Linked DNA regions of Rhinolophus ferrumequinum. The protein of the gene in region 1 purifies or fractionates together with the protein of each later gene. This does not show direct contact. Links are inferred from orthologs where the notes say so. Each region holds a gene or a part of one and is shown on either strand. Other genes may lie near its edges.

Region 1 (9,446 bases):
TGAATGAAAAATCTTCCTTAAAGAAATGATCGTGGTTTTTATATACTATTTCAAAGCCGGGAAAGATTATCATTCAAATTCTTAGCAATGAAATATTGCTAAAGGGATAAACACTTGGGTTTGACAAAAGCCAGTTCCTCAGACTTTGAAATTAACCTCAGCCCATAGCAGACGGCAGGAAACAAGTGTTTCTTTTTTCTCTTTTTAAAAATGCAGACACCATTGTTGCTGGGAAGATTATAAGCATCATTTGTAGATGAAGTCTATAGTTAGGCTCAATTAAATTCAGAGAAGCTGTTCTGTAGAATACAAGTCTCCCATTCTTCAACAAAAATGTGGGCTGCTTATAAACGGCAAGTTCTACAAGTAAGGACTTATGACAACCCTTTTCTGTAGCTAAAATGGCTGCTCTCTTTCCCCCTTGCACCAAGCACCAAATCCTAGTGTGGAATCTATGCAAACCTCTCAAATCCAAGTTTTCATAGAGGATGAGCTAAAAATTGGTATGCAGTCATGGCAAGTGACTCAGCACTTCTGCAACTATTTCAAACCATGAACTTGATCTGTCTAAGATTCAGAAGCCAATGAAAGTGCTCCCAAGTTTCAGGCTGTTTGGTAATAACTATTGGACTGCCGTGAATCCCATTACTGGTCACAATTTGATCTAGACACAATTTTAAAAAATGCTTACAAGTGAACTGAGAGTCCCAGTCACTCAGGGTCTCCTGCTGGGCAGGAGTGAGGTCAGAAAGGTCATCGTACTCATCCTTCAGGGCTTCCTTATCCAGGCAAAATGTGGCGAGGCCCCTGGATGCATCTCTTCCCGCAAAGACTCCATACGGCCCCTCTTTTAAAGACAAAACAAAACCAAAGACCAATTCTTTATTAGACAGTCAAGTTCTCTGTTGTTCATGCACAGAAAATGGCTTCCTTACCCATCAACATAGAAAGCCCTCTTTTGGAATACCCAATTCCATTTGGAAAACGTAAGTGATGTTGATACTTTAATCATTATGTAGTGGATAGTAAAAGATCTGTTGTTATTAAACTTTTAGTGGGAGATGAGGGTAAGGGGGATCAAATATATGGTGATGGAGGGAGAGCTGACTCTGGGTGGTGAACACACGGTGTGATTTATGGATGATGTGGTGCAGAATTGTGCACCTGAAATCTATGTAATTTTGCTAACAATTGTCACCCCAATAAATTAAAAAAAACCAAACTTTTAAATAACTAAAACTAAATCAAAATGTTATACATTATAATTAATTTCCTGTGATTTTCAAATAGCTAATAAAAAGGCCATAAAAGACTATTGCACCCATCCAGGTAATAATGGGTCCACAGGTCAGAATTCAGTTTTAGGACATTGAACCCAAAGCCTGGCTCTGTTCTGGGCACCTGGGCTACACCAGGGAAAGTTATGGTTTCTTAAGATAATAAACACTAAGGTTTTAGTAAATGAACTAAATGCATTCTAATATGTTTTAATGAGTCAAACATATCGTATAGAGATTTTTGGTTGTGAGACTGTATTAAACATTAACATGTGGCACCTGCAGGAGAAATCATTTTATAAGAGTATTAGAAATCTATCCACATGTTACATAATCTTCACTGTCAATAAAGAGATAGCACAGAGATCAGCTCTATCACTGTTTTTGGTGGCCTTGAAGAACAGAAGACTAAAAATCCTAAAACTATCATGGGAAATAAAGGCTCAATCAATATCCCAAACTAATTCTATAAAACATTAGAATGCTATTACATATATTATACTGAACTTTTGTCTAAGAGAGCAGTGACTTATTCTGTAGGTACTTAAAGTGGATGTTTATACTTATTTAAATATTGCACAAATACATAAAAAGAATCCAGTGTACTTTAAACAATGTGTGTTTCCCCAAAGGCTGACTGAGTAGCAACCCTGACATTAAAAAGTTTGTAGGTAACCACTATGTCAAGTATGAAAATGGGTCAAGTTTCAATATGGCCTGGTCACCTGCAACCTCAATCCACCAGGCTTTTTTCAAATTAGATTAACTTTAAGATCAACTTTTAAATGTTATCACCAGAATATTCACTCCATGGAATGTAAACTCCATGAGCCGAGATTTGTTTTTTGTTGTTGTTCACTGCCATAGCCCCAGCACCTACAAAAGTGCCACGCATAGAATAGGCACTCAAATGTATAATTCTTAGGAATCCTTTGTAACATGAAGTATCCTTTCCACATGATGTCATACATTCATGGTATCACGGGCTTATAGTGCAGGGGAGAGACTAAGAGTGGGCCATCCTTATGATTTTAAAGAGGGACAACTACTGTGTTTCCCCGAAAATAAGACCTAGCCGGACCATCAGCTCTACTATGTCCTTTGGAGCAAAAATTAATATAAGACCCGGTATTATATTATATTGTATTATATACCCGGTCTTATTTTATTAATATAAGACCAAGTCTTATACTAATTTTTGCTCCAAAAGACACATTAGAACTGATGGTCTGGCTAGGTCCTTTTTTTTGGGGAAACACGGTAAGGCCCACAGAGAACAATGCTTTGCACTGGGTCACACAGCTAGTCAATGATCCAACAAGGGCTAGAACCCAGGTTGCCTGACTCCCAGTTTTGTGCTCTGTGCACAGGCCTACATTCCTCTCAATGACTTTGCAAACTACAATCATATGATGATGCCTCATGCATGTGTTTTGACAACTTTATGATATAGCTCAGTAATAACAGGTATTTACACGATTATGTTTATTGATAATGCCTCTAGGTGTGCCGCTGTAAGTGACAATACAGGTGTGGTTTTTAAATTATTTTGACAGTTACATGTCTGCATTAAGTAGGTCTATTAAATGATCCACAAGGAAAAACTGCTAAGTGAGAGATCCTTAAAAATTTTAACATATCTGATTTTTTTGAGTCAGACTGGGAGACTAAGACAAAGCAGAAGTGGGAATGGCCAGATTGCTGCCTTCTATACTCTTCCAGAGCAGCAGGGAAGAGAACGCTGTCAATGTGGAAACGTTCCCTGAGCTCCCTGATTTTAGAAGAGTCCATATTGGAGGAGTTAAAATAAAATGTCTTCCACCTCCTCTGCAAATACTCTTTAAAGCAGAGCTTTCCAAACCTGGCCTGGGGAAGCATGTTAAAAGTGCAGATTCCAGGTGATCTCCCCCAGAGACTCTTCCGTTGTTAAGGTGATTAGGCCAGAGTCAGTAGGTTAACTCATTTGCATCAGGTGATTCTGATCCAACCAGGCTTAAAAAAAAGCCACATCACTAAGGCACCTTCAAGCCTGCCTCCTCCAACAGCTCAGCAGTCATCCATCCACCCCTCATTTCATTATCCTGAATCCCCACACCCAGCAGCCTTCAGAGTCCTACCCCTTTTGTTTCTCAGGATCCTCCCACTTCTCCCTCCCTCCATTTTAATTTTTTTTTTGGCTTCTAGTCCTTTCTCTCCTGATGTAGTTTAAACTACTATATTACCTCCTCATGTTGCTACATTCCCATTGTCCACCACATCCAGCCTTTATTCCTCCTTCAACCAGCTCCCTTCCTCCTACGGAACCTCCCTTGTTCAACTTCCATCTTTTCCCAGTCCGCCACACACAGCGCGCGCACACACATGCCACACACATACCTGACACATGCCACACTCCAAGCACGCGCGCACGCACACACTGCCCGACAAGCCACATACACTGACAATGCACACAGAGCGCACACTCACATCATTCACCCCCACGCACGATGCGTCTACCTGCTGGTAATCCCTTCTCCCACACCCTCACATCCGACCAAGGCTACTCCTGGCGTCATCGGCCTTCACGTCCTCTCCAAGGCTGGATCTCCCTCCTCCAGACCTCCACCCATGCCTCCCTCAAGACACCCACATTTCCTTTCTTCAGCCCAACACCGCACCCTCCTTTCAGGCAACCTCAAACCTAATACCTTCGAAAATCCCCCAACACTGCGTTCTGCTGTGCCCCCTAAACGTTTCCAGACTCGCGATTTTATCCACCCACCCCGGCTTAAGGGCATCAGACTCTCCACCCCTTATCCCCGCGTTAGCGGCGCGAGGCCGGGAATCTGCGTCTCCCACTGGCCCGCAACCCTTCTAGAGCGTCCCTTGCCCGCGGTGGGAGCCGTCGGGCCATCACCGCCTGCCCGCCCTCACTGGCTCGTCGCCATTCTTCCCCCCGGGGACGCTCTGCTCCCCCCTCAACCCTCCCGGATTTTGCCCCGTGCCGGGGCCCCTTCCTTTGTCTCCGCGTCCCCAGGGCGGGCCGCCATACCGGGCCCGTAGAACTTGCGACCTTTGGTCACATCGAACACCTTGCCGTTGATGGCCATGAGTATGCGCGGGTCCTGGACGCCGTCAAAGCGCCGCAGCTCGGCAGGGGTGAAGTCGCGCCGCTTAAGGCGGGGCAGCGGGGGCGGCTCGTCGTCGTCGCTGTCGCTGCTGGCCGCCGGCTGGTCCCCGCGCACGATCTTGTAAAGCAGGAAGATGCAGAGACCGAGCAGCAGCAGGTTGAGCGGCGACATGAAAATCTCGTTCAGCAGCCCGCCCTCCATCTCGTTCGGGTCAGCGCCCGTCGCCACCACATCCTCGGCAGCCATGATCACTGAAGCAAAGGTTTGAGCTGGGTGGGGAGGGCTCCGGAACTCGCTGCTTTCTCCTCCCTCTCCGAGAGCTAGTGACGCCTGAGGATCTGCGGACAAGGACTAATCAGGGGAGGAGGCGGGGGAAAATGGGCGGAGCCTCCAGCCCCTCCTCTCCCGCAGCCGCTGTTGCGCGCGGCCCGGCTGAGTCCCGCCCCGCCCAGCCCAGGGCCCCCATCTTCCTGTGGATCGTAGCTCCCTTCCCCCAGCCAGATCCGGCCTTCCAGCCAGAGAGATCGCTGAGTCCACCCCTCAGTTCCACCTGCTTGGCCCAGGTCCCCACTAGACGTAATCCTCACGCCAACTGGCTCACGGCGACGCAGGGCGTAGCCCTACTCCGCACCCCGCTTGCTCCTGGCGCAAAGACCCCCTTGGAGAGCCTTGGTTCTGCTAAGCTCTGTCTGAGACCCTCTGTCACTTCATGCCCACCAAACACCGACTCCATTTCTCTTGCTTCAGGCTTCTCCGTCGCCTCAATTTCGAAGCCTCATCTTTCCCCGGCCATACCCCAGGGCCTCCAGGCTTTCTTGGAAGACAGGAAATTTACTCCTCGAGCTCCTTTTTCCACCTTTGAGACCCAGCCTACCCATTTTCACCTGAGGAACCCCTATTCGCTCTCATGACGACACTTCTCCAATCTCCCCCCGCCCCAGACGCTGTGGGGTGAACACCCCCGGGATAGCTAAAGTCAGTGTACAGGCCCCCATCTGACAACTCCCCCCCAAATCTGGGAAAACGATCAGATTGCGCGATTTACTATGGGTTCTTTCTCAGAAAACTAAATCCTTTTGCGATCACTGATTTGCTCAGTCCCAACGCATCAGCAAGCAACATTCTGTTGTGCTTTTTTTCCCTCTCAGAATAATGAGAAAAGTTTCTTTGACAGCTTTCTATTTGAAGTCTATCGAACGACGCTTGGCAGTCATAATAACCCTGTGCTGAAGCCCGGACGAAGGCGGGAGTTTGGAAGGATCCTAGTAGATTTGGTTCCTTTCTTTCCTAGGTATTTCATCCAGCCTTTGGTGTGCTAGCCGGCTGCACAGGAGCAGGTCTTATGGAGGAAGGGCTGTCTATACCCTTTAGAGTCTTAATCTGGCTGCCTCTTTATTGTGGCAGGGGGAGGGGAGCCGAAGAAAAGGTGGTGGGGGGGGGGGATAATTAAAACCAAGCCATGCCAACATCTGCAGCCCAGAGCTGTACTTTTCCGTGAGGAATTCTGTTCGCTTGCACATAACTTACTCCCCCTCCCAACAAGCAGGCTTCTTACTTCAGAATTCTGAAAATTTCTGGCACAAACAGCTTCCATCCCTGCCCCCATCCCATCTTCTTAAATCCTTTAAAAATGCATGTGAGCTGAACAATCTTTAAATCTGCCCACGCATTTTTTTTCACAGATCTAAATTTACGATAAGCTGAAATGGTCGTTTTAGATCATTTGTCAAACTTCTTCAATTTAATCAAGGGAAAACAGGCTCAAAATCAGCTGTACTTAGGATCTAATTATCTTTTTAAAAAATTGTATGGCCAAGACAGTTTTACAAACCAACAAACTTGTGAAAAATATTTTCATTTGTAACCAATATAATAGACAAAGGGTTGATATTTTTTAAGACCTCATTTTAATTGACAAGAAAAATCCAGAAGACTCTAGATAATAAATGGGCAAAAATAGAAATAGGTAGTACACAGAGGAGGGGATACTAATGGTGGATAAGTATATGAGAAGTGTTAAGTCTCACTAGCAATAAAAAATGGAGATGGAAGGAGAACTGACTCTGGGTGGCGAACACACAATGTAATTTATAGATGATGTGATACAGAATTGCACACCTGAAATCTATGTAATTTTAATAACAATTGTCACCCCAATAAATTTAAAAAACAATTAAAAAAAAGAAAAAAATGGAGATACCGCTGTCATGCTCAACGTTCCTATAAGAAAGATAAAAGCAAAAAAAAAGGATGGTATACAATGCTGGCAAGCGAGTGGTGAGACTCTTGTCATACCGTTGGGAGGAGTAAAAATTGGTATAACCTTTTGTTATCCATAAAAATATTTTCTATCAATTAATCCCACCTCTAGAAGTCTGCTCTTTCATCCAGTAATTCCACTTCTAGGAATCTATCCTAAGGGAACACTTAGAAATACAGACAAAAATTTTATTACTGAGATGCTCATCAGAGAATCATTTTTAATATGGAAAAACTGGAAATAACATGAATGTTCAATTTCAAGAAATACCTAATTAGTCGAATTCAATTGTGACAGAACTATTAAATGGTGTATGATACAGTCATCCAAGTATTATCATGACATGGGAAAATACGTGTATTTATGTTTTAATCTTAAGCAGCAAAACAGGATACAAAACTATATACAGTATGAACTCAACTATGTAAAAAAAACCCCACAAAAAATGAGTAAGCGGTAGCACGAAAGGAAACATGCTAAAATGTTAACTGTTGGGATTGTTACTTCCTTCTTTATTCTTTTCCACATTTTCCACAATAAGCACATGCCCTTTTAACTTCGGGGAGGAAAATGGTTTATTATTCCTTTTCTGAAAAAAAATGTAGAATGGTAATACATGTTTACTATAACAAACTTTATATGTACGTGTATAAAGTAAAAAATGAAACTCATCTCCCTCTCCCAACTCTCCAAACAATCTTTAGATCCGGCCTGCACATTAGCAGTTTGGTTTATATTCCTGTAGACATATGAAACACAGACACAGACACACACACACACACACACACACACACACACACACAGATTTTTACTTATAAAACTGGGGAATTCTTTATTTGTATTTTTAAATTACAGTTGACATTCAGTATTATATTCGTTTCAGGTATATATCTTAGTGGTTAGACATTTATATAACTTCTAATGTGGTCCACCCAATAAGCCTAGTATCCATCTGGCACCATACATAGTTATAAAAATATTATTGACTACCTTCCCTATGCTGTACTTAAAATAATAAATGATTCATCAGTTTTTTTCTAATAAAGAGATACAAAGTAAAAAATAAGAATAAGCCATTAGCTCCCACCCAGATAACCCCTGTTGGAATTTTTTAAAAGTCATATTCATTTAAGGTGAAAAAATTCAAACTATGGGAAGATACAAAAGGTAAATTAAAGCCCCTTTCCCCACCCCTGATTCTCTCTCCTCAAAGGTAACCACTATTAAAAGTGGGGGATATGTCAGACAGAGACAAATACTGTATGATAGCTCTTGTACGAGATCTGACAATTAAGTTCGCAAACTTGACACTGTGTGCTTACATTGGCAGCACTGTACAAACAGCTCGGTAAGGTTTCATAACTTTGGTATGTCAGTGTCTCGCAGCTGTGTTTGTGTTGACGTGTGGCGGTGTCTTGCTGAGTGGCGTTCATTATTGTTGTTGTGTGTTTTTGTGTGCTGTTGCGAGAATGTCTGAGCTTGAATTAGAACAATGAACAAACATTAAATTTCTTGCTAAACTTGGCAAGAGTGGAAGTGAAATCAGGGACATATTAGTCCAAGTTTATGGGAATAATGCCATGAAGAAAACAGCAGTGTACCAATGGATTAAATGTTTTTCTGAGGGGAGAAAATGAGTCACTGATGAAGAGAGGTCACGGCAGCCAGTAACGAACAGAACTGACAAAAACATAGCAAAAAATCATCGAATTGTTTATCAAAATTGTCAGCTGACTGTGAGAAGCATAGCAGACTACGGAAACATCGATAGAGAAACAGGAAAATCTTACTTGAAAATCTTGGCATAAGAAAGGTGTGTGCAAAAATGATCCCAAAGGAGCTCACTGATGAACAAAAGCAAAGGAGAGTCAAAGTTTGCCAAGACCTTTTGGTGAGGCAAGGTGATGTTTTGGGCCATGTTATCACTGGTGTAGCAATAGGACCCTGAAACAAAGCATCAAAGTGCACAAGGGAAATCAGACAATTTTCCACGACCAAAAAAGTTTCGTCAGTTCAAATCAAGAGTCAAAACAATGTTGCTAACATTTTTTAATATTGGAGGGATTTTCATTATGAATTAGTACCAACTGGACAAACAGTTAACCAAGTTTACTATTTGGAAGTGCTAAAAAGGCTGCATAAAAAAGTTAGATGAAAAAGACCTGAACTTTTCGCCAACAATTCATGGCTTTTGCATCACGACAATGCACCAGCTCACATGGCACTATCTGTGAGGGAGTTTTTAGACAGTAAACAAATAACTGTATTGGTACACCCTCCCTACTCACCTGATCTGGCCCCCAATGACTTTTTTCTTTACCTGAAGATAAGGAAATATTGAAAGGAAGACATTTTGATGACATTCAGGACATCAAGGATAATACGATGACAGCTCTGATGGCCACTCCAGAAAAAGAGTCCCAAAATTGTTTTGAAGGGTGGACTAGGCGCTGGTGTTGTTGCATAGCTTCCCAAGGGGAGTACGTCGAAGGTGACTGTAGTGATATTCAGCAATGAGTGATGTAGCACTTTTTCTGGGATGAGTTTATGAAATTAATTGTTAGACCTTGTATAAATGCTTTAAAACCAGACTTGATGTTAAGTAAAGTGGGATCTTAGGTAACACTGCGATGTTGAGATTGTTGAATAAAAGCATCCCACCAGTCTGGCTCATGTCAGAATATTGGGTGGAAAGGTCTTGTCCATAATGATAGTTCTCAAGTTCTCTGGAAGTAAGCAAGGTGCTCCCGACTAAAAAAACCACTTCAAAACATGAAAGTTGCATGTTCTTTGGCTTCA
Region 2 (9,993 bases), about 31 Mb from region 1:
ACACTCGTTGGGCAAAGGCTGCTGGCCTCCATACCTTCCATGGACACAGTATGATGAACGGGCAGGACACACAGGGTCTCTGCTTGCACAGAGCTCCCAGACTAGCAGGATAGGTCCGTAATAAACAGCTGACCGAACAAGATAATACCAGGTGTGGTAAGTACCGAGACAATGAAACGAGGTGGAGGAGATTTCTGAAAAGTCTGGTCTATGTCCCTTCTCTGCTTAAAACCCATCTAAAGCAAATTGTAGAGCTGAAGGAAAATATACAGAAGATAAGATAAAGCACATACAGGTTAATCGAAAAGTTAAGACTCTGATAGATAAATGGGCAAGGAACCAGAACAGACCGCATGGAGGGGGAAACCCAACCGGTACAAGACGTTTGGGGGAAGGTTCAACCTCAGGCATGGAAGGAAAGCAAATTCAAAAAGCAAGGTAAGAACAACAGAAAACAAAGTAACACTTCCTACCTATTACATTAGTAAAGATGTTCTCAAAATGAGAACATCCAGTACTGGCAAAGGGTGCTGTGAAACCGGCTCCACTGCTGGTTGCTGGAGGATTCTCTATTGGCACTTTTGGAAACTAATTTGGTAATATGCATCCAGAGCTAGGAAGAAATCCACACCCTCTGGCCACTTCTGCGAATCTACCCCAAGGAACTAAGTAAAAGAAGGCAGAGCTATATGCATAGGACAGGCACCAAGACGTGTAACTAAGGAGTGAAAGGGCTCAAAGCCACTGGAAGGCCTAAGTTTATTCTAGTTAAGCCCAATGTGGCTACTGAGGACTCCTCTCCTGAACCAGAGTAAGATGAGGAGGCAATGCTGCGGAGAGCCAGGCTACCTCAAGGGGCCTCCATTCACCCCATCCCTCCCTCCCTGACCCAGTGGGTCACCAGCCTGGGTTTCATCTCTGGCCATAGCCCACTACGTCCTGGCCTCTGGGATGAGTCCCACCACCAGCATCCAGGGGCCTGAGGCAGCTGGTATGTGCCCCTTTATGCCCAGGCCAGGCCTCCCTACTCTGCAGCCTGTCCAGACTGCTCCTTCAGGCCCCCTCAAGGTGCCCTCCTCCAGGCAGCCTTTCTCTCCTGGGCCAGCTTGTTGTCTCCCTCCTCTGCGCTCCAGACCTCAGCTCTCTGAGACTGCAATGCCCAAGAGCTGCAGTTTGGGAGGAAGTGGGGCCCACTTCCCTGTCCTGAGTACTCTGGGGCAGAGACTCTGTCTTCCAGTGTCTCCTATACCTCCATCCTCACTCCCAGAGGCAGAGGTGGGCAGCCACCTGGCCATGCGCCCCAAGCCTGGGGATTCCCTCCAGGCCTGCTGCAGCTGTGAGTGGGACCCTGGAGTGGCCAGGGGTTGAAGGCACTAAAGTGATCTGTAATGTGCCAGCCTGGGGTGCCTGGCTTGGCCAGGTTGTAGGCACTGAGGGTGGCAAAGTCCGTCTGATAGGGAAGTGGAGAGACACATGCCCCTACCCACTATATAATGGGGGCTCAGTATAGTTGGAGAGAGGGCCACCAACCCCAAGGGAGGTAGGTACTCCACAGGGGCCCAGGCATGCTATCTGGAGAGGACTTCCTGGAGGAGGTGATGGGAGCCTGGCTGGGAAGATGAGGATGCGGAGGGAGGCAACTTCTACAGTGGTGAAGGGAGAGGAAGCTAGGCTCCAAGAAACCCCCCCCCCTCCGGGGTGGGGTTGTGCGGGCCTCGCCTCCCGACGCCTGAAAAGTGGCTCCCCTGCACCTTTCTCCCAACCCTGCTGGCAAGCCCTCCAGCGGGGAAAGCGAGTGTTCTGTGCCCAGCGCCAGCAGCGCCCGCTGCGCTAGCAGCAGTACAAACTGGAACCTGTTGCCACCTCCGCACTGCAGGGCTGAACGCAGCCAAGGCCCCCTCCCCCGACCCTCGCCAGGCCCGCTCCGCACTCGGGCCTCGGCAGCGCCTGCTCGGGGCGCCGGCCCCTCCCCGCACCCGACTCCCGGGCGGGCTGGGGAGGGGAAGGCGGGCTGCGCGCTGGGGCCTCACCAGGCTCCCTCCGGCGGGCGGAGCCAGGCCGCGCGCTCGCCGCAGGGTGGGCGCTGCGCCCGCAGCCCCAGCCCACGCAGGGCACCCCTGGCTTCCGCTGGGCCAGGCCACTGCCCCTGGGAGGACACGGGGACGTTGCCGCCGTTAGGCCCGGTGCGCGCCGCGTGCGCCCTCTGGTCCCCAGAGCCTTCGGAGAGGGGCGCCCCGCCTCTCCCTCCATCCCCCCCATTCCAAAATGCACGGTTCCCGCCGGGCCGAGTGGCAGGATTTCGGCTGTCGCGGCCAGGTCACATGGTCGGGAGCACAACTCCCAGCGACAGCGTTCCTGCCAAATCCAGTGTCTTTTCCACCAAATCCACTTTCTGCTGGGGATGGCTTTCTGCTTTTCCTGGTCGGTCTCCTCGCGGGACTGGGAGTTCCTCCAAGGCAGGAGCGGGTGTGTGCCCGGCCCCAAGCTGGCCTCAGCTCCCAGTGCAGGGCCTGGCACCAGCCGGGCGCTCACGGAAGAAATGCTCGTTAACAAAGAAGGCATGAATGAATGAAACCAATTGTTGCACGAGGGAGCCCATGAGGGTGCTGCTCCTGCTTTTTCTCTCAGCGGGTCACACACTCCCCCCAGACATGCACAAGCACACGTGCACACACAGCTCTCCTCCCAACACACACGCAGACTGGCACACACACTGGGTGAACTCCTGTCCTCGTGGCACCGACCTACTATGTGCTGCCGCCTCCATCTAAGTGCCTGCCTCTCTGCCTCCTCCTCACCCCCACTCCCGGTGCCCCGACATCTAAGTACGGTACCTTGTGCCCTAAGTGCCTTCTTTATCTTAGGGAAGAGACCAAGCCAGTCGCTGGGGAGACTCAAGGTCTGTTTAGGGAGGCACCTGGGGCCCCTCAGGATGGCAAGCTGCTGCCCAAGGCGAGCCAGAGGCGCCTGGCAGGGATGTCACCAAATGCTGCAGCCTCTAGAGCCCGCGTGCCAGGTGTTGGGGGTGCTGGTGGGAGGGACTCGGGGATGTTCTGGGGGCTGTTGAAGGCTATTTGCGATGGGGGCGGGGCTGGGTGCTGGAGAGAGAGGATCCAGCAGGTGTGCATACATGTTGGGGTGCCTGAGAGTGCGAGCTGGGGAGTGTCAGCCTCTGTGGTGTGGGGTAGTGTTGGGGCTTCGCTTGGGGGTGGGTGGATTGCAATGTCTCTGGGCTGGGAACGTGGGTGGGGTGTCTGTAATGAGCATATGGGGAGTCGGAGATGGTGGGGGCACCGAGGGGAGCTAGGTTAGTGCTGAGAGTGCAGGGATGTATTGGGAGTATGTGTGAACCGGGGTGTGTACTGAGGCGTGGCAGGGTCTGTGATGGGTGCTGGCCTGAGTTGGGGACAGTGGTGGGTTCCGGGCTACTGGGATTTGCACTGCAGGGACCTGGGTCCACGGTGCACGGTTTGTGTTCGGGAGTGTAAGTGGCAGGGGGTGTGCGTGGTGGACGACACCGGAGGTGCAACGGTCGGGATGCAGGGGGTGTGCGGTGGCAGGACCGAGTGTGTCTCACAGGGGCGCGTGCGTCGGCCCCGTGGGGTGTGCGTTGGCAAGACTTTGGGGGTGCAGGGTGGAGGAGCGCACGTCGGAGGGCGGCCAGGCCGGGTGGGGGTGGGGGTGGGGTGGGGTGGGGGTGGGTGCTCTGGCGCCGCGTGCTCCGCTCACCTCTGCTCACCTCCGTTCCGCTCGGCTTCCTGCGCCGGCTCCGCGCGTGGCGGCCGGGAAGTTTCCAAAGCCGGGGCGGCGGGAAGCGCCACCGCCACTGCCGCCGACCGCCACCGGAGCCTCGGGCGGCGGCCTCGCCTAGAGCCGAGGGGCTGCCGCCGCCGCCGCAGCGGAGGGAAACTCCAAATCCCGCCTCCGCCGCCGCCTCCTCCCCTCCCGTCGCCGTCTTCTCCGCCCCCTGCCCAGGAGGGGCACCGTCGCCGGCGGCGCGCAGGGAGGGAGCGGGGAGGGGCCGCAGCCTGCCCGGCGTCTCCCTCCACCTCCCCCGCCCCTGCCCGCCTTCCACCCACCTGAAAGCCTTTGCTCGCTCTGCCCACCCAGGCCCCTGTCTGGATGCCCCCCAACAGCCCTGCTGCGTGGGGGCCACGAGCTTGGGGAACAGGAATGGGGTGGGGTGCCCTGACCTAGGCCTGGGCCTAGGCTGGGGGAGGGTTGCACCGAAGAGTCTCCACTGGCACCCCTGCTTTCTGCAAGAGAACTGAAGGGGCCCATCGAGGACCGGGCACAGATTGGCCACCAGGGCCACTTCCTGCAGCCGCAGGGGTGAGGGCTTAAGGTCCAGCTGACTACACTGCAAGCGCCCCCAACCCTCAGGCTCCCCTGCACTGTCCTCTCCCAATCTCACGTATCAGATTCTGGCTAATAGTAATATCGCTTGAGCTTCGGTGCCTGGAAGGGGTGGAGCCAGGACTTTGGGGGAGGGGTTGGAAGGGGGTGTTGTCAGGAGGCCCAGTGTGCTTTCCTCTGCACGGAAGGCCACAGGCATCCCCCATCAAGGAACTCCTTTTGCTTTTGCACCAGTCTGGGAGTCAGAGGAGACTATTCCCATGCCATAGCTAAGGAAACCAAGGCAGTGGTTTCCTGGTGGTCAGGCAATAATGTCGTGGCAGAGCCCCAGTGGGCTGAGATGGGCTGAGTTCCCCAAGCCTCAGCTGAGTGTGAACAAGAAGGCCCACCGGTTCCCAGATTGCTCACCGCTGTGGGGAGGGGGAGGCAGGGAGGGAGGCAGGGGGGAGCACACAGGGGCTCCCAGGCCAGTAGTCAGGTGAGCTGGGGCTCAGCCCTGGAACGAGACATGAGGGATGCTGAGAACCAGCATGAGGCTGTGGGCTGGCTTCTGGCAGGGGGTTCCCTTCTCAGCCCAGGGAGATCAGAATGAGGCAAGGACAGGATGGGATGACATCTTTAAGGAGGCTGGCAGAACTGGGATGCCAGCCACTCCATGGATGAGGGGCAGCCAAGGGAGGCCTGGCCGCCTGGCTCATGTCTGCGACAGTGCTGAATTCCCCTGAGTCATTACCTCTGGAAGAGAGAGGAGGCAGACAGCTTTGTCTTTGGTGCCTCAGTTTCCTCATCTGTACATTTGGGTAGAAAGGAGGACCTCTTGATTTCCAAGGGCCCTCCTAGCTTCAGGGCGGTTTTAATCCATTATGTGTGAGCTGGGACAGGGTCCTGCTGCCACCAGGCTGCATGCCCGCCCTGCCCTTTGGCCCCTTCCAGCCTCAGCAGATGACCACTCAGGCCCTTTCTGGGCTGCACCTGCTGGTAGGTGCATCTGCCAGGCAGGCCCAGGGTGCTTCCTGGGGCTGGGCTGTCCTTTCTCCTTTCCTTCAGCATTAGGGATCCAGTGTGGAGCAGAACTGTGCAACCTCCACCACATGGGTGAGCAGACAGAACTGTGTGCAGGACCTCCCGCTGGACGCTGTGCTTCTCTGATAGCCCTGCCGGTTGTCCTGAAATTTAGGGGCCTTTGCTAAGAAATCAACATACGCTAAACTCTGTGCCATATAGCAATAGGGCCATTTTGTCAGCCAAAACATGAAAATACATGGAGACTGAAAAAGATGGGGCCAGCTGTCACCCGTTGGTGGTCCTCCCATTTGGGGAAGACCATGGTGGCTGTGCCCATGGCCTGGGCACTCAGTTGGCCCCTGGCAAAGGCTTGGTGAGCTGACTCACAGAGAAGTTTCTGGAAAGATTGGATAACCAACTCCCTCCCTCCCCCCCATCCTGCGCTTTAGTGACTCAGGGCTGAAGGGCTGGAGGAGGAACATTTGGATTGATTGATGGTGCCCCCCACCCCTGCAAAACACCCATCCTACCCTCCCACAGTGCCTGTGCTCTCCAGGCAACAAGACTCACCAGACTGGAAGAGAAGAAGGCTAATACAATGGCCAGGCCAGGCCCAGGAGCTCTGAAGGCACAGGCCTGCTCTGCCTCAGAAAATGGGACCTCCCTCCTCACCCCCGGAGACCTGTCTTGGCCAGCAAGGCCTGGCCTGTGCCCTGTTGAAGAATAAAATGGAGAATGTTCTTGAAGAGGACTTGAGTACGAAGCCAACCATGTCGGAATCCAGGTTGTTCTAAAGGCACAGCTGGCCTCCATCTTGGAAGCCACGCCCGTGTGTTCAGGTCCTATCTGAGGGTGGGGTGACTGGGCAGCTCTAGCCCTCACTCTCTCCTCTCTGGCCATGCCCCTTTTCTCACCAGAAGCCCAAGGCTCTCAGCGGGGGACCAGGAACTGCCGGCCCTTGGCAAGGTGGAGGGGCAGAAAGCTGGGCCTTGCTTGGGATGGAGAGGTCTTCAGCCTGGCCATGCGTATTGCTGGCCCTGCTTTGACAGACTGGGCCTTTGGCTGAAGGCACCTGTACCTGCTCTGTTCACCTTTTCCAGGTCTCAATTCTGGGCTACTTTACAAGTAAGTGGAGGTTTGAGGAGAGGCCCACCCCATCTGGCCCCTGCTTAGAGACCCTGCTCCCATCTGAGGGACGCTGGCACTTGGGTACATGCACAAGGCTTTATTTCTGGGCAACCATTTGGTCCTACTGAGAGCAATACCTACAGCTGAAGCCATTTGCTCACCTGACAACCGCTCCCCCCAGGCCACCACTGGATAACAGGCTTCAGTCTCTCCTCCCCCATCAGAGGCACCTTAGCCAGCATCTTCTAGACGTGATACCAGTTGCCATACCTTCAGAAGCACATTCTAGACCCTGTTCCAGGGCACCCAACCTGTTTGCTGCAGTTCCCAGTGGGGCTACATCCGGACATTTGAAATCAAATGGCCCTGGTGACGGCTCCCAGATCTGCACTTGCAGCTGAGGTGAAAGGGTGAGGCAGCCCCAGGCTAGAGCAGGAGGGAGGGGAGTTCGAGAGAGCCCGCCTGTGCTGAGATTGATTTCTGAGGGGCCAGGTTCTCAGGAGCCATTAACACCCCCATTCCGGGAGGGCTCAGGTTCAGGTTCAATAACCTGGTTATAAACCCCCTCCGGCCAGCTGTGTTGGCTCCTTCCCCTTCTCCTGTCCTCCCAAGCAGCGGCGTGTGTGTCTGGATATACATTACAGATGATATAATCCTTGTGCTGGGAGAGAGCCAGACGCCCACACCCATTGGCTGGACAGGCAAAAGGAGGTGAGAGGGAAGAGGGGGGAGAGTTGGGAGCCCTTCCAGCCCCCACTCGGTGGAAGGGTAGGAGAGAGGGAAGCAGATGACTTCCTGGCTTGTTCAAGGGAAGTTGAGGGCTGAATGGGGCCAGGAGAGAGGGGAGCCACTGAGGGTGGAAGGACCAAACTGCTGCGACCCGCCAGTCACTTTGAGGAAGACCTCTATGAGTGGCTTACCTGCCTTTCTGGCAACATCTCTCATTCCCCCCCCCCCCACCTCCAGGAATGTGCCTCTCGAGTGAGGCCATCTCATCACGGGAAAGAAGATAATATATGAAACAGGCAGTGAGTCCAGCGCAGGCTGGGGCTCATTCTGACCCCTTGCACTGGCTCAGATGTCTGCGAGAGGAGGGGGGAGGGGGCTTCTGGGGATGCTTTGGGTTTTTCTTACCTTGTTCCTCAAGGGTCTGCTCCCGCTCTGTCACAGTACTAAGGACCCTGTCTGGCTGCATCCCCCCACCACTCCTCTGGCCCCTCCCAACACTGCAAGGCCCAGCCTGGGCCTCCTTTGGTTCCTTGCACCCAGACCAAGGCCCAAAGCCAGGCTGTGTCACGTACTGTCCCGGGGTCAGGGTGCACCAGCACCTCTCTGCATCTCTCCTGGCACCCCTGGAGCCATCACCCCCTGGTCTGGTCTGGGACCATCTCTTTGCCGCCAGCCCTGGACCTGGAAGCCCTAGTGAGTTTCTCACAGTGACTGAAATAAATGAAGGCAGGAGGGAGCTAAGCCCCCAAGGCAATGACTTGTCTAAGGCCCTACAGCCTCGTTGGTGAAGTTAGAGCCAGAACCCAGAGCTGCAGATGACAGGGACCACCTTGTCATCTGCAGGAATCAGATGAGTAGGGCAGGAATCAGAGAGTGACAAAGCAGGTCCTGTGGCTGGGCCTCTGGGGCCCAGGCTTCAGAAGGGTGCTGCGGAGGGCCAGCTCACGGAGCTGCTTGGCCACCAGACGAGAGACTCAGGCGGGGCACTCCTGGCTTGCGGGGAAGGCCCCATCCCAGAACCCTTAGATAATGAGAACAGTAGTTCTGGGTCACCGTGCTGGGAATGAGATTGATACGCACAGGTGCTACCAAACCATCCTGGCAGCTCTGGATGAACGTTCTAGACGAACAAAGTGAGGCACAGCGAGACGAGGTTGAGGACTCCAGCCAGGCGTCAGCCTCCATAGAGGGGACTGCCTCTGCCCTTGGGAGCTTGGGTCTGCTCCGGGTCATTGTTTCTTGTAGGCTTGGGGGCAGGCAGGACAGGGGCCAGCGACCCAGTCACAGCAAGGAAGGAGGCAGCTCCTGGTTGTAAGAGGGGCCCTGATGAGCTGTCCGCACAGTCCGAATCGGCAAAGAATCAACTGCGGAGAGGGCCTGGTCCACCTTTGAGTCCAGGCCAACCCCGCCAGGGTGGGGTCCTAGGCGGTGGCTGCAGGGTGACAGATGGGCCCCTACAGCAGGGGTGCCTCAGCTCAGATGAGAGCCTTCTCTTGGCCCAGCCCCCATCCTCTGTGCAGCCCCCTAGCTCTTGCTGCCCCCTTCCCACTTTCCTGCTTGAGAGGCTTGCCACCAGGAAGGCTTGGGATATTTCTGCCAACTCTGTGGGGATTTTCCATCTAAATTTAGAGTAGCTATTACCCCGCAGCCGCTGCAGTACCTGCTTCCCACATTGGTGACTCATTTGCATCTTGAGAGCACCCAGCTCACAGATTCAGATTTGGAGCCACGTGACCAGCTGTCCCTCGGGGGCCAGCCCCTGGGCCGAGGGAGGGCCAGAAGAGGGAGGGGGAGGTGAAGCCAGAGGGATCGATTGCATCCCCTCCAGAGACTCCACCCACCAGTGGGAAGGGGACAGCCACGGCCTCTCCATGCTGGACCTCCTAGTGAGGGGCTGTGATGAGTCGTTGAGCCCCTTGCATGGGTCGTCACTGTCCTGCTTGTATATGACTGTAGGTTCTCAGTCCCCTGTGTGCCTGGGCACTGTGGCCAGTCAACTTCCCACTGTCTCCTGCCTCATCATGACACCCAGCAGGCAGTGAGTACTCCTGCCTGCTAGCTGGGTCTCCCCTCATGTCCTCCCCCCCCCATTGCCAGTGCCATTTCATTATCACAGAGAGAAAAGGAAGGGCCAGTGGGGGCTCTGAGAGGCATGGCTCAGTCCGGGCCACTCTGGAGTCCCATTTGACTCTGCTTTACCAACCAGGAGCAGTGGCCTGAGACTGGTCTTCTAGCACTGGAAGCCTCTCTTCACTGTACCCCCACTGCGGGCCGGCATGGGGTGGGACCACGAGGGTAACACCGAGCCCAATTTGTCAACCTGACATTGGAGAGCTGGCCAGAGCCACAGGGACTGTGACGGTGACCTCAGCTTCCCTGTGGCATGCTGGCCTGTCCTGCCTGTGCTCTGCAGCCCCAGAAGGGAAACAGGGGTGGGGGTGGGTCGAGGATGGACTCCCGAAGGCTATAAGCCTAGGAGGGTTTCCCAATAATCAGAGAAAAGTTGCTGTGGCCCAGACGAAAACGTCCACCGCGGTCGGCTGGGACAGGCTCTGTGGGTTATAAGGGAGAGAAGTACCCAGAAGTCGTGTTCAGGTAGGGGAACTTGTGGTGCACAGAATGCTGTCTCCTTCTTAGCCAAACCTCCCCTCTCCCCATGACTCTCATCACCATGTCCCCAAGCCACCGCTGGCCCCTGTCATCACAGTGCCAACCTTGCCTCCGTCTAAGTCCCTAAATGGCTCTCAAAATTCTCCTCTGACACCCTGTGCCTTT

What was found.
Region 2: the proteins of PGRMC1 (region 1) and DUSP9 purify together in Homo sapiens (affinity purification with mass spectrometry; 3 studies listed by BioGRID). This does not show direct contact. The link is inferred for Rhinolophus ferrumequinum from reciprocal best matches to the Homo sapiens genes PGRMC1 and DUSP9.

What each region holds. Positions count from the first base shown.
Region 1 is NC_046284.1:37,651,025-37,660,470, forward strand, and holds the start of PGRMC1 (membrane-associated progesterone receptor component 1), read right to left. Parts: upstream 4,734-9,446; 5' UTR 4,634-4,733; coding exon 4,309-4,633; intron 848-4,308; coding exon 692-847; intron 1-691. UniProt on the Homo sapiens protein: Component of a progesterone-binding protein complex. Binds progesterone. Has many reported cellular functions (heme homeostasis, interaction with CYPs). Required for the maintenance of uterine histoarchitecture and normal female reproductive lifespan.
Region 2 is NC_046284.1:6,764,910-6,774,902, forward strand, and holds the start of DUSP9 (dual specificity protein phosphatase 9), read right to left. Parts: upstream 3,906-9,993; 5' UTR 3,740-3,905; exon of another isoform or gene 3,730-3,739; intron 1-3,729. UniProt on the Homo sapiens protein: Inactivates MAP kinases. Has a specificity for the ERK family.